Drosophila melanogaster: one gene and its partner. The protein of the gene in region 1 binds, or shares a complex with, the protein of each later gene. Each region holds a gene or a part of one and is shown in the gene's direction. Other genes may lie near its edges.

What was found.
Region 2: the proteins of Mlc1 (region 1) and Mhc are in contact, whole or in part, in a crystal structure (PDB 5W1A), measured with the Drosophila melanogaster proteins. Residues at the interface, in NP_001287569.1 of Drosophila melanogaster: Phe14 (codon at 3,077), Val15 (codon at 3,080), Val18 (codon at 3,089), Met19 (codon at 3,092), Asp33 (codon at 3,134), Arg36 (codon at 3,143), Ala37 (codon at 3,146), Asn39 (codon at 3,152), Leu40 (codon at 3,155), Asn41 (codon at 3,158), Pro42 (codon at 3,161), Thr43 (codon at 3,164), Leu44 (codon at 3,167), Glu78 (codon at 3,269), Gln79 (codon at 3,272), Gly80 (codon at 3,275), Cys81 (codon at 3,278), Asp84 (codon at 3,287), Phe85 (codon at 3,290), Glu87 (codon at 3,296), Cys88 (codon at 3,299), Leu89 (codon at 3,302), Lys90 (codon at 3,305), Leu91 (codon at 3,308), Tyr92 (codon at 3,311), Asp93 (codon at 3,314), Lys94 (codon at 3,317), Glu96 (codon at 3,323), Ala103 (codon at 3,344), Glu104 (codon at 3,347); in NP_723999.1 of Drosophila melanogaster: Arg25, Ile26, Ser29, Asp718, Lys720, Met721, Arg722, Gln724, Ile725, Pro728, Arg776, Leu780, Gly781, Ile783, Met784, Ser785, Trp786, Met787, Gln788, Ala789, Trp790, Ala791, Arg792, Gly793, Tyr794, Leu795, Ser796, Arg797, Lys798, Phe800.

What each region holds. Positions count from the first base shown.
Region 1 is NT_033777.3:27,656,342-27,661,989, reverse strand, and holds Mlc1 (myosin alkali light chain 1), read left to right. Parts: upstream 1-1,812; 5' UTR 1,813-1,877; coding exon 1,878-1,880; intron 1,881-2,033; coding exon 2,034-2,061; intron 2,062-3,068; coding exon 3,069-3,374; intron 3,375-3,434; coding exon 3,435-3,521; intron 3,522-3,876; coding exon 3,877-3,920; 3' UTR 3,921-3,923; intron 3,924-4,034; coding exon of another isoform or gene 4,035-4,078; 3' UTR 4,079-4,912; downstream 4,913-5,648.
Region 2 is NT_033779.5:16,764,707-16,769,994, forward strand, and holds the start of Mhc (myosin heavy chain), read left to right. Parts: upstream 1-2,027; 5' UTR 2,028-2,050; intron 2,051-2,219; exon of another isoform or gene 2,220-2,404; intron 2,405-3,070; exon of another isoform or gene 3,071-3,253; intron 3,254-3,877; 5' UTR 3,878-3,974; coding exon 3,975-4,178; intron 4,179-4,440; coding exon of another isoform or gene 4,441-4,584; intron 4,585-4,752; coding exon 4,753-4,896; intron 4,897-5,288. UniProt on the Drosophila melanogaster protein: Muscle contraction.

The sequences.
Region 1 (5,648 bases):
TCACTGTCCCTTTCGGACTTGAGTGGAAATTAAATCCATAGCCTTTGTTCATTAATTAATCTTCTAGCTGATTAAGCACGCTTTATCCTTGCTAAGTTCTTGCCAAGTTCTTTCTGTATCTTATTTTAAGATAAGCATTTGAGATATATTTTAAATAACTTGATTACCAGCACAAAAAGCCCTTAGTGTAAATGTTGTTTACAGAAATGAGTTCTATAAATACAAGCACACAATTTCAGTCTCAAGGGGCTATTTATCAATGACTTGCGCACATTAATCTGCGCAGATTCGTGGCAACAATCGGCTGCTGATAGCAGATGTTCAATCAAGGACCAAATCGGCCTAAATACTCATGCACCAGTTACCCGCTTGACAACAGGTGGTGCCCCAAGGAGTAAACAATAACAAGGCCAGGGAGGCTGCGCGGCCAAAAGCCGAGCCGAGGACTCAATGGATTGAGAGATAGGACGAGACAGGACAGCCCAGAGAGTGGGTCTGATGAGCATCAGCCGGAAGTTGGGCACACAGCTGGGCTCAAAACTGGGTCAAAGAAGGACCTGTCCGATGGCACGAACATGGACGTGTGTACATCTACATTTACATAGAAAGTCAAGGACATGGGTGCATGGAAATGGATGTGCCGGCAAAGCCAATGGCCTGCTTGGCTTAATTGCCACTTCCTTGCCAGATTTGCCGCCTTTTAAGCACCTCGCTTACCCTTCAGGCTTGATCGGTCATTATATACCTACCACCCACCATTTGCCTATGCAAACAATTCGAGCATTTAGTTGTTGCTGTACATTTTTGCTCTGAATACGCTTCATGTATCTGTGTCATAGTTTTTATAAATAGCACGCATTAAAATGTTGTACAGGCGGCACACACAAGGCACAAGAAGGCGCCTGAGGGGCCAGTAATGCGCCTTCTATGTAGATGAGATGCCAACGAGGAATAGTATGCTTTTGGAGCATGTATAGTGTATAAATATTGAAAAAGGCTGGTGTTCAGGTGTTCTGGCAGCGGACAAACAAGAAATCGGCCATTTAACACCCCCACATACGACCGGCTGACAAAACATTTCGAATGATAACAGGCAAGACCTGAGAAATACGTACGTTTGCCAAAAAGACGATCAGGGTCGATGAGTGTATAAATATATACATGTATAGGCCACATTTATAGTACATAGCCCCATAGCCCCATCTAAACATCTAAACATACCCCGTAAAACCCCAGCATGGAAGCTCAATCTATTGCGCAGCGCTAAACAATCAATTCTCAAACCCATTCTCCTCCCGCCTGAATGAGAAAATATTATATTATCTGCAAAATCATCTGTAACATCGAATGATATTCAACACTATCCGGCTGGGAATGCCACAAGCGATTATTATTTTGCCTTCACGAACGAAATAAAAAGAAATATTCACAGAATAGCCGAAAAAAAACAAAATGCTTAAAAATAGCCCGGCTAGAGAGCGGACAACAAATGGCTCTGGCTCCATAGGAGAGCCTCCCAATATCTGGTGGTCGTTGGGATCCATGGGATCCCAAAAGAGAGTGGCATTCGAAAAAGTTCCCCCAAGATGAAAGTAAATTCTTGCCATCGCACATACTACAGCATATATTTTGGTGTGTGTATAGCCTTGCGCAGGAAAAGAGCGAGCGTTTCGTCATCCATTCGTATTCGTATTCGTTTTTGAATTCGTTTTCGAAGCTATAGCTGTAAATGTATCTGTATCTGTGTCTGAGTGCTCGGCGATCGGCTGGTTGGCTTTCACCTCAGAATTACCTTGCCGTACTGCCACTGACGAATAACGTTCAGTCGAGACCGAGCTCATCCGCGATACAGTTGATTTTCGCATCAAACAGACAAAATGGTGAGTGCCCAGTCGGCCAAGGAGTCTTCACACATCTTCCACCAATATCCAGTGATATAGATGTACATAAATATATGCAGCAGCTGAAAACTGAAGATTTTCCACACTCGAACTAATGCCAAACTCTCAAATCTTTTTCGATTCCGTTGACAGGCTGATGTTCCAAAGCGTGAAGTTGAAAGTAAGTTAAAACCCCGCACGAAAAGGATTATCTTTAACCTCAAACGAAATCCATCAAAGTTAAACCAACATATTAAATGAACGAGGTAACGGAAAACCCAGCAGAAAGGACTAAAAACAAGTATTATAATATCCATAAAAATACAGATTACATAATGTGCGCGTGTGAGATACACAACAAAAAGTACACAAAAGTCGGTGAACATATTTCGTAATCACTTGGAATATATCGCATACATATACGCATGCCTATATATATAACACTATGCGGAAAATTTTCATTAAGGAATGCTGTCGTCTATATGCATCGCCTGAGCTATTTTCATCGATCGACCATCCAAAACCAGAACGGATAAAGGTTGCCAACACAATTCCGGTAGAGAAAATCTAGTGCAAAGTTAAGTTTGATTTGCGTTATAGAAAAGCCGCGGAAAACAATGAAAATCGTGTGTGTATATGTCGCGAACCCGAACGCGCGATCCTCGTCTTCGAGCCGAAATGCTTCTCGTTTAGAGATCTAATTTTGGCCAAGTTATTTCTTTAGATTTATTTTCGATCAAACGCACAGCGAAAGAGATGAGCAAACTATGCGACTTTGTGTGTGTATATACGCCTATATACTGTGTATATAGCGCAGACGAGGGCGAAGGCGTTCGGTTCGGGTGTCGGATTACGTATACGTAGTGTGTTCTCGGGGCTGGCAACTCTCCCAGATCCGCACTCACGCATACACTCACACACTAAGTAGGCAATGCCCAGCAGCCATGTCAAGATTTTCATGATGACCAAAAATGTGCGTACCAGAAATTTCAGGGTTACCACATCGACCCCGTTTTCGAAAATAAAAAGGGTGGTCAACACCCACCTCTGCTAAAGTATTTTTAAAAACAATTAATGAGGCAGCATAATAAAATGAAACGAATAAAAACAAAAATTTGATGGGATTTACGTTTGATCGACTAACATGAACATGAAGATGTAAATGCTAATCGAGTTCCTTTTGCGCAGATGTCGAATTCGTTTTCGAAGTCATGGGCTCCCCCGGTGAGGGCATTGATGCCGTCGACCTAGGTGATGCCCTCCGCGCTCTGAACTTGAACCCCACCTTGGCGCTGATCGAGAAATTGGGCGGCACCAAGAAGCGCAACGAGAAGAAGATCAAGCTGGATGAGTTCCTGCCCATCTACTCACAGGTCAAGAAGGAGAAGGAGCAGGGCTGCTACGAGGACTTCATTGAGTGCTTGAAGCTCTACGACAAGGAGGAGAACGGCACCATGCTGCTGGCTGAGCTGCAGCACGCCCTGCTGGCGCTTGGTGAGTAATCAACATGCATATATCCTGGGATATCCCTCTAAATCATTGTGTGCATTACAGGTGAGAGCTTGGATGACGAGCAGGTGGAGACCCTGTTCGCTGACTGCATGGATCCCGAGGATGATGAAGGATTTATCCCCTACTCTCGTAAGTATTCGTTCAATGGACGATACTCATCTAATGTTTTTTGTGCATATACGATTTGTAAACGCCGTTTGTCTATTCCACATGTCACTCTTTGTCTGCGCACAAACCAAAAAAATCCCCACCATTCTGCACTGTGCACTTTGTACCACCAACTCGACCTGAAAAACACCAACAAACCTAAAAATATGTGTATGCGTGTATCCATGTTTGCGTGTCCATTCCTCCAACACTACACTCGCAAAAAAAAAAAAAAACCGACCAACTCCCGAATGTCAAACGTATGGTCTCTGCACGGTGATTGCGTCTTGTTTACCCGCCGTTTGTCGCCGATCCACTTGAAATTGAATGAAAACAGAGTTCGTCCAGCGCCTGATGAGCGATCCTGTCGTCTTCGACTAAACAGTAAGTAGGGATGGAGCCCATGGCCACTTCGCCGATCTCTGGATGTCTACTTGTCCAACAAATTTGGGGAATACCTTGCTAATATGGCCCTTTTCTTCGTCTACTCCACAGCATTCCTCGCCAGAATGTGTGACAGACCAGATCAGCTAAAATAGTTGAAAACAACAGCTTCAACAACAACCAACAAACAACAACAACAACAACAACAACACCAACAAACTTTTAGCGACAACCATTCTCCATAGATGTTATATTCATCGCTAACTCTCTCTATCTCTCTCGTATATTATTTTAATTAAAAATTACTTCTGCTACTACAACTGCAAAATTGAACTTCAAGATAATATTATTTTTTAAAAAATAAAAAAATTTAAATTATAAAATAACGAAAACAAAAAAACTGAAAAATATTCAAAGTTTTGTGCACATTATTTTGTTATGAATTATTTTGTTGGTTCAGCCAAAAGCAAAGCAATAGTTAATGATTATTTTATATGAGACGTGAATAAACCAAATAGCAAATAATATAATGTTTAGGCAAATTCAACATCCGAAAGCGTCCAAAAAGGGCAGTTAGCAAAACGCCAAATGTGTAAATTGTGGCCTTTTTGCGTTCTCAATTTACCAAGTGAATGTGTGAAAGTGAAATAAGTCAAATGTATTTAAATAAACACTAAGAATAATTGTGCGGCCGATGAGGTGTTGCACAATCAATATAAAAGAAGATCAGGGTGGTGGAAAATTTGGGATTATGCTATATAGGCAGCCAATATTAATACAAGATGTGGCTGACTTGTTTAATAAACTAAAAGTAATAGAGAAAGTTTAAAAATCTTATACTGAATCCACAAAGAAATATCTAGATATTTTCGCCGCAGACTGCAATACTTCAGCTGAGACACAAACCACCAACGAGAAGCAGGCGAAAGACTAAAATACCGTGTACTAAAATGTCGTTTTCGCTTTTTCTCAACGAGAGAGAGCTTTCGAAATGTTTGTTAAGCTTAGAGCTTGGTTAATATGGTTTTTGTCTCTACTTTCGTAATTATTATTTATTTATTATATTAAAATAGTAAGTGTAAGAAGGGGTGGAAATACCCGCATCCTGGTATCTACCTTCCTCGTCTAGTCAACAATAACAATTATAAACTAATCACAAAAATAGCTTGGGGGTTGAGATTCCGCTGAGCTTTTGCGTCGACGTCGAATCAAAAAAGTGTCAGAAAAGTTTCGGTTAAATACGACGACTACGAATCAGTTGAAATCGAGATAACAAACCGACAAGCCGACCGAGCGGGAGCTGTCTCGCTTTTTTTAAAAATTTGCACCAGCAAAAATCCAAATAAATTAGCAGAGTGCCAGTGAAGTAAGTGAGCGTGAGTGCGCCAAGTCAAAATATAAATATTGTCATTTACGCCGTTTCAAAATATATTTCCGCGAGCATTTCTCGAATCGAAAGTGAACCCAAAATATATTATTCCAAGTGAAAAGGACTAGCCCAAAGATACACACACACACACACAGGAAAAATACCGACAGATCTGTAGTCCTTTTCGAGTTTTCCCGTGAGTGCAACAAATACAGACACACCACACACACACTCGTTCGACTTTCAATATGGCGGATGTCCTGGAGAAAAGCTCACTGCTGGATGCTGTGCCACCACTAGGCGACCCCCACCCACCGCTGCCCCACCAGCAGCTGCAACAGGAAGCAGCAGCAGCA
Region 2 (5,288 bases), on another chromosome or scaffold:
TGCACCCCCCACCACCCCTCTTGGGAAAATGTTGGTGGCCCACCAGTGCCAAAATACACAAGAAGAAGAAACAGCATCTTGACACTAAAATGCAAAAATTGCTTTGCGTCAATGACTCAAAACGAAAATGTTTTTGTGCTTTTCGAACAAAAAATTGGGAGCAGAATATTGGATTCGCTTTTTTCGCATCGAATATCTTAAGGGAGCAAGGGAAGAACCATCTAGAATAATAAAGAAGACCAAAATGTATCGTAACTAAAGGTTTTTTTTATTAATTATTAAATGTTAAATATTAACTTATACCAACTCATTGGCTTTACAAGTACAACAAATAACCCCAAAATAATTTATTGTCAGGTGCTAAATTGTTGTTTGTTGTTCTTGGAATTTGTTTTAAATGCTCAATTTATGTTTTTGTCTTTTTGCCCACAATTCTGCTCGACAATGTCACAGATTTTGTTTCAGAAACTTAGCAAAAAGTATTATAATTTTATATGTGAGAAAAGACTAGAGAGCAGCAAACCCTGCACCGAAAATAAAGGAAAAAAACACTCACACTTGAATGAGAACTGAAATCTTTTTCAAACTATAAATATTCCTCAAAAAATGTTTGAAAGTTGTTTTTGTCCGAATTCATGAGTTGTTTTTTTGCGTATTCTTTTTCCGCTACACAATAATCATTGTTAAATATTGAATATTCAAGACGGACCAACTCATTACGAAAAGTATTTGTCGAAAATACCTTGCAGTGGGTGTATATACATTTATCATATAATTCTTTGCCAAAAATGTTGCACATGAAATTTTGTAATTTTGCTTAAAATTATGAATAATTTCTGTGTCGGAATTTGACATCGTTGTAAGAGGGGAGACTATTTCAATTCTGTTGGCATTTATCATAATTCTCTTTGTCAGCATTATAGATTTGATAAATTCTCGACAAATCGCTACAACACGAATTTCATAATGCACTCGTATTTGCAATCGTATTTGTATTGGATTTTAGCATTGAAACCTAAAGATTTTCGCATCGCATTGCTCTGAAGGACGCCGACTACATTGATTTGATGTGGCATTTCTCTGTCTATCTATCTATATCTAAAGTATCTCTTCAACTATGTGTTTTATTTCGTTTTTTTTGCGTGCATTGCAATTGCTTGCATGTTCTAGCCCATCTATGTTATTTTGAAGTTCACATCATTACTTTTGGCGGACATGTGCTTGCTATGGCCGATCCTTAGGCTAGATAGATCATCAATCATTAACTCAAAGGATCGGGTTTTTTCGTTCTACAACTGAACGATGACCAAACGAATGTTTGTAGCCATTGATAGCATACGATCGGTCTTCTCGAACAGCTGTTTAGCCACTGATCGTAAAGTGATCGCAGATTAGGAGGAAAACCACATAGCGCCGCCTGATCGCAAGCATTCCCCCTGTATTCCACCCACATTGGTGCCAGATCGGATTGGCATTGAGGTGACCAAAAACCAAAACCAGAACAAAAAGCGAAAAATGATCACCGAGAAAAACAAATAAAGATCCCACCATGCCATGCCATACACACATGTGTGCGTCTAGAAATGATATGTGAAATAAGTAAAAAGAAAGCTCCCCTTGGAAAGAGCGAGGGATTCCGGCGGAGAAGAATTGCCTCACGGCGGAAAAGTTGTCATTGAAATGAATTTTACTATTTGACTAATGGGAGAATTGCGAGAGAGCCTACGCAATGGCAATCGTCGGAGAAGGAGCTTTCCGCTCTCGATTCCGCAACGATCCTGATTGCATCATATGCTCACACATATACCATATCCACCATCCCGCAATCCCCCATAGAAATGCCCACTTGCTAGAGAAGAGGAATAGGAATCAGAGCAGCCAAGTGCTAGACCGAAAAAGGGAGCAAGAAAAACCGAAACAGAAACAGCGCCACGCACACCGATCGTCGAATCGAAAAGCTTTCGGGGTCTTACGGGATCCATGGGTATCAAGTTGCCCCGTATAAAAGGCAAGTTTACCGGTTGCACGGTTCAGAACGGCTTTCGAGCGCGTAAGTGCAACACCTTTGATGTGCGATCTCTGATTTTTGGATATTACCACCCAGCAGCAGTAGCGGTAGCAGCAGCATCAGCGGCAGCAGCAACAATTTGACCTTTTGGTCAAAAAGCATAAAACTAAAATAATTATTACTACCTATATATATTTATATATGCAACAAAATCGAGAAATTTAAAAAAGTGTGTGTGTGGTGCTTTAACTACGATCCGAGCGAAAACGGATCTATTAAAACTCTGTGACAATCAGAACAGTGAACCGGAATACCTCGGATTATCGTATCGAATTGGATTACAAATAACAATCTTTTCTTAGGAAGTACATCAGTTACTTAACATAACCTATAGGCGTTAATTTGTTTTCTGAGAAGTATGCAACTATCTTCAACTTCTTGTGTAACAAATCTTTGACTTTCGATCATATCAGCGAAAAAATCTGAAAGTGAAGTAACAAGGATATAAGGAAACTTCTTTCTTACTTTTAGGACTCTCACAAAAAACTAGTTTATCCTTTCTCGCCCAAGAATTTTGGAATAAAAGACTTTCATCGTTCTAAATTTCGACTACTTAAAAAATTCTAAAGCAAATAGATCATTTAAATGTCAGAAAGAGACAGCCAGCTGTTACTTCATCAAATGAAAAATTCGTGTTTCGATGTGAGTTCGAAATGCTGTAATAGCCATTTCGAATTACTGGCGAAATGATTTCATACACAAATACCTGTGTGGCCGAGACATATGCGTATGCATACTATAGAAAATAGATTTAGAATACTCGAATTCGTTGTCGGCTCATATACATGGGCGAAATAATTTCGAATATGTTTTAAAAATAACCAAAGACATTAGAAAGAGATCGCCAATACTTATACATTATGTCTATGTGTGCCATGTGGTAGCATGAGCCAAAAAGCTTCTCGAAATTACGAATTACATATAGACGAATATGTATGTGACTTTAGTTTCGAAATAATTTCGAGAATTTTAAAAATAACGCATTCGTTAAAAGTTCGCGTCAATTCGAATCGAATTTTCGATTGTCGATTTAGTGTGGATTGTCGAAAATCGTTCCGCCTTCGAAGTTTACTGAAAGGAATCATTGCGATCTCGTGAATTGCTTGTATGAGAACACGCCACCATATCGAGATACCTGTTCAAAATATCGAAATCGCGTTCCAAACGGTAGTAGTTACCAGTTGAGTGAGTTGTGGTGACAGTTTAACCTCTCTACATTTGTAATAATAAGCATTGTTTTGGCGTATCAATAGTCTGTAGATTTTTTCACAAAGAAACCTGGAGAAATGTACACAAATATCTAAATGAAAATTGGCGTTACGTAACAAATACCAACGCCCCGAAAATCCGTATATATGCAAAGCATTCTGATATATATATATATAAGTGGTATACATATACATATTCGTATCGGATCCGTGATCTATATTTAGGCGACAACCCACACAATTCACTTGTTGTCTGTTTATAACAAAAACAACAACACAAGCACCGACCAGGCCTAATTAACTTTGAGGTGTGAGATAAAATCAAAGCCACACATAAATAAATATCCGGTTACGGTAACGGGAATTTCGAAAGCGCGAAACGGGAAAAATGTTCATATTTGGAAATCGAAATTAAATTTCGAAATCCTATCCACGCACACACGCGTAGAACTGTTATAGTGTCCGCTATTGCTGCTGCTGTCAAAATGGGTCAAAAGCATAAAATCCATAAAAGAATCAGACTTCGAAACAAAATTCCAAAAATAGTATGCTTTTCTGAGAACCATATAATAAATATTATTTTTCTTTTGTATATTTACAGGGAAGTTTTGGGCTCACGACGCGATTAACAAAGAAATTTTGAAAAGTCCCAATATTATTTTTCGAGTTTTTAAGTTTCTAAACGAAATTTAAGCAAGATGCCGAAGCCAGTCGCAAATCAGGAGGATGAGGATCCCACCCCATACCTGTTCGTGTCTTTGGAGCAAAGGCGTATCGATCAATCGAAACCCTATGACTCGAAGAAGTCTTGCTGGATCCCCGACGAGAAGGAGGGTTATCTCCTTGGTGAGATCAAGGCCACCAAGGGCGATATCGTCTCCGTTGGTCTGCAGGGTGGAGAGGTAAAGTCATCGTCTACACGAGGCTTCAGCATAAAAAAAAAAAAAAAAAAGCTATTGAAGAGTCTTATGGTCGACCTAAAGTGTTAGTCAATTGTTACCCAATGGGAAAATCTTCTTGGTACTACTACTACTACTACAAGAAGGGTTTTTCAATGGATAGCATAAGACTGGGACTTTGTCATGACCTCATACACTTCAATAGCTTATAATGTAGCCACAAAATTAGAATGAAACTATAGATTTCGCCTACATATACGATTAGGTACGAGATATCAAATCCGAGAAGGTGGAAAAAGTCAATCCACCAAAATTCGAAAAAATTGAAGATATGGCCGACATGACCGTGCTTAACACTCCTTGCGTTTTGCACAATCTGCGTCAGCGTTACTATGCTAAGCTCATCTACGTAAGTGTTGTACTGCCAGAAACTCACTAATGTATGGGTATCTCTTCTCTCTCTCTCTCAATCTCAAAAACGAACTGCTAACCCAACGTCTAACCAACAAATGTTGTACAAAAACTAAACATAACCAATCGAACTGAATCCGACAAACCGAACGAAAATGATAAACAGACACGAGACTTAAAGAAAGATCTGCTCCAGCAAGTGAACCCCCCGAAATACGAAAAAGCCGAGGATATGTCCAACTTGACATACCTTAACGATGCCTCTGTGCTCCATAACTTGAGACAGAGATACTACAACAAGCTGATCTACGTAAGTAATTGCCGATCAAGGGTGGCACACAAGTATGCGTTCTATGTTCTTACCCAACCGCTTATCTACCGCCAATCACTCACACTTATGAAAAAAAGAAAAACATCCCAAAATTTTTCAAAATTCGATTAGAGCTGCAACTAGTCTCCGAAGCTTTGAAGTATTTAACGCAATTGAGTAGACTGCTAACCTTAGTCATTCGCTCCTTTTTCGGACTTATGAAACTCATTTTATTAAGCCCTATGAAAAAAAAAACATAACCCCAGCTAATTCCTCATTTCCTGTGACGTATGCACTAATCCAGCTTGTATTAAAACGAATCTTGGCCGTCCAGTCGGATGAACCGCACAACTGGAAAGAAAACGGTTCTACACACAGCACACACACCACAC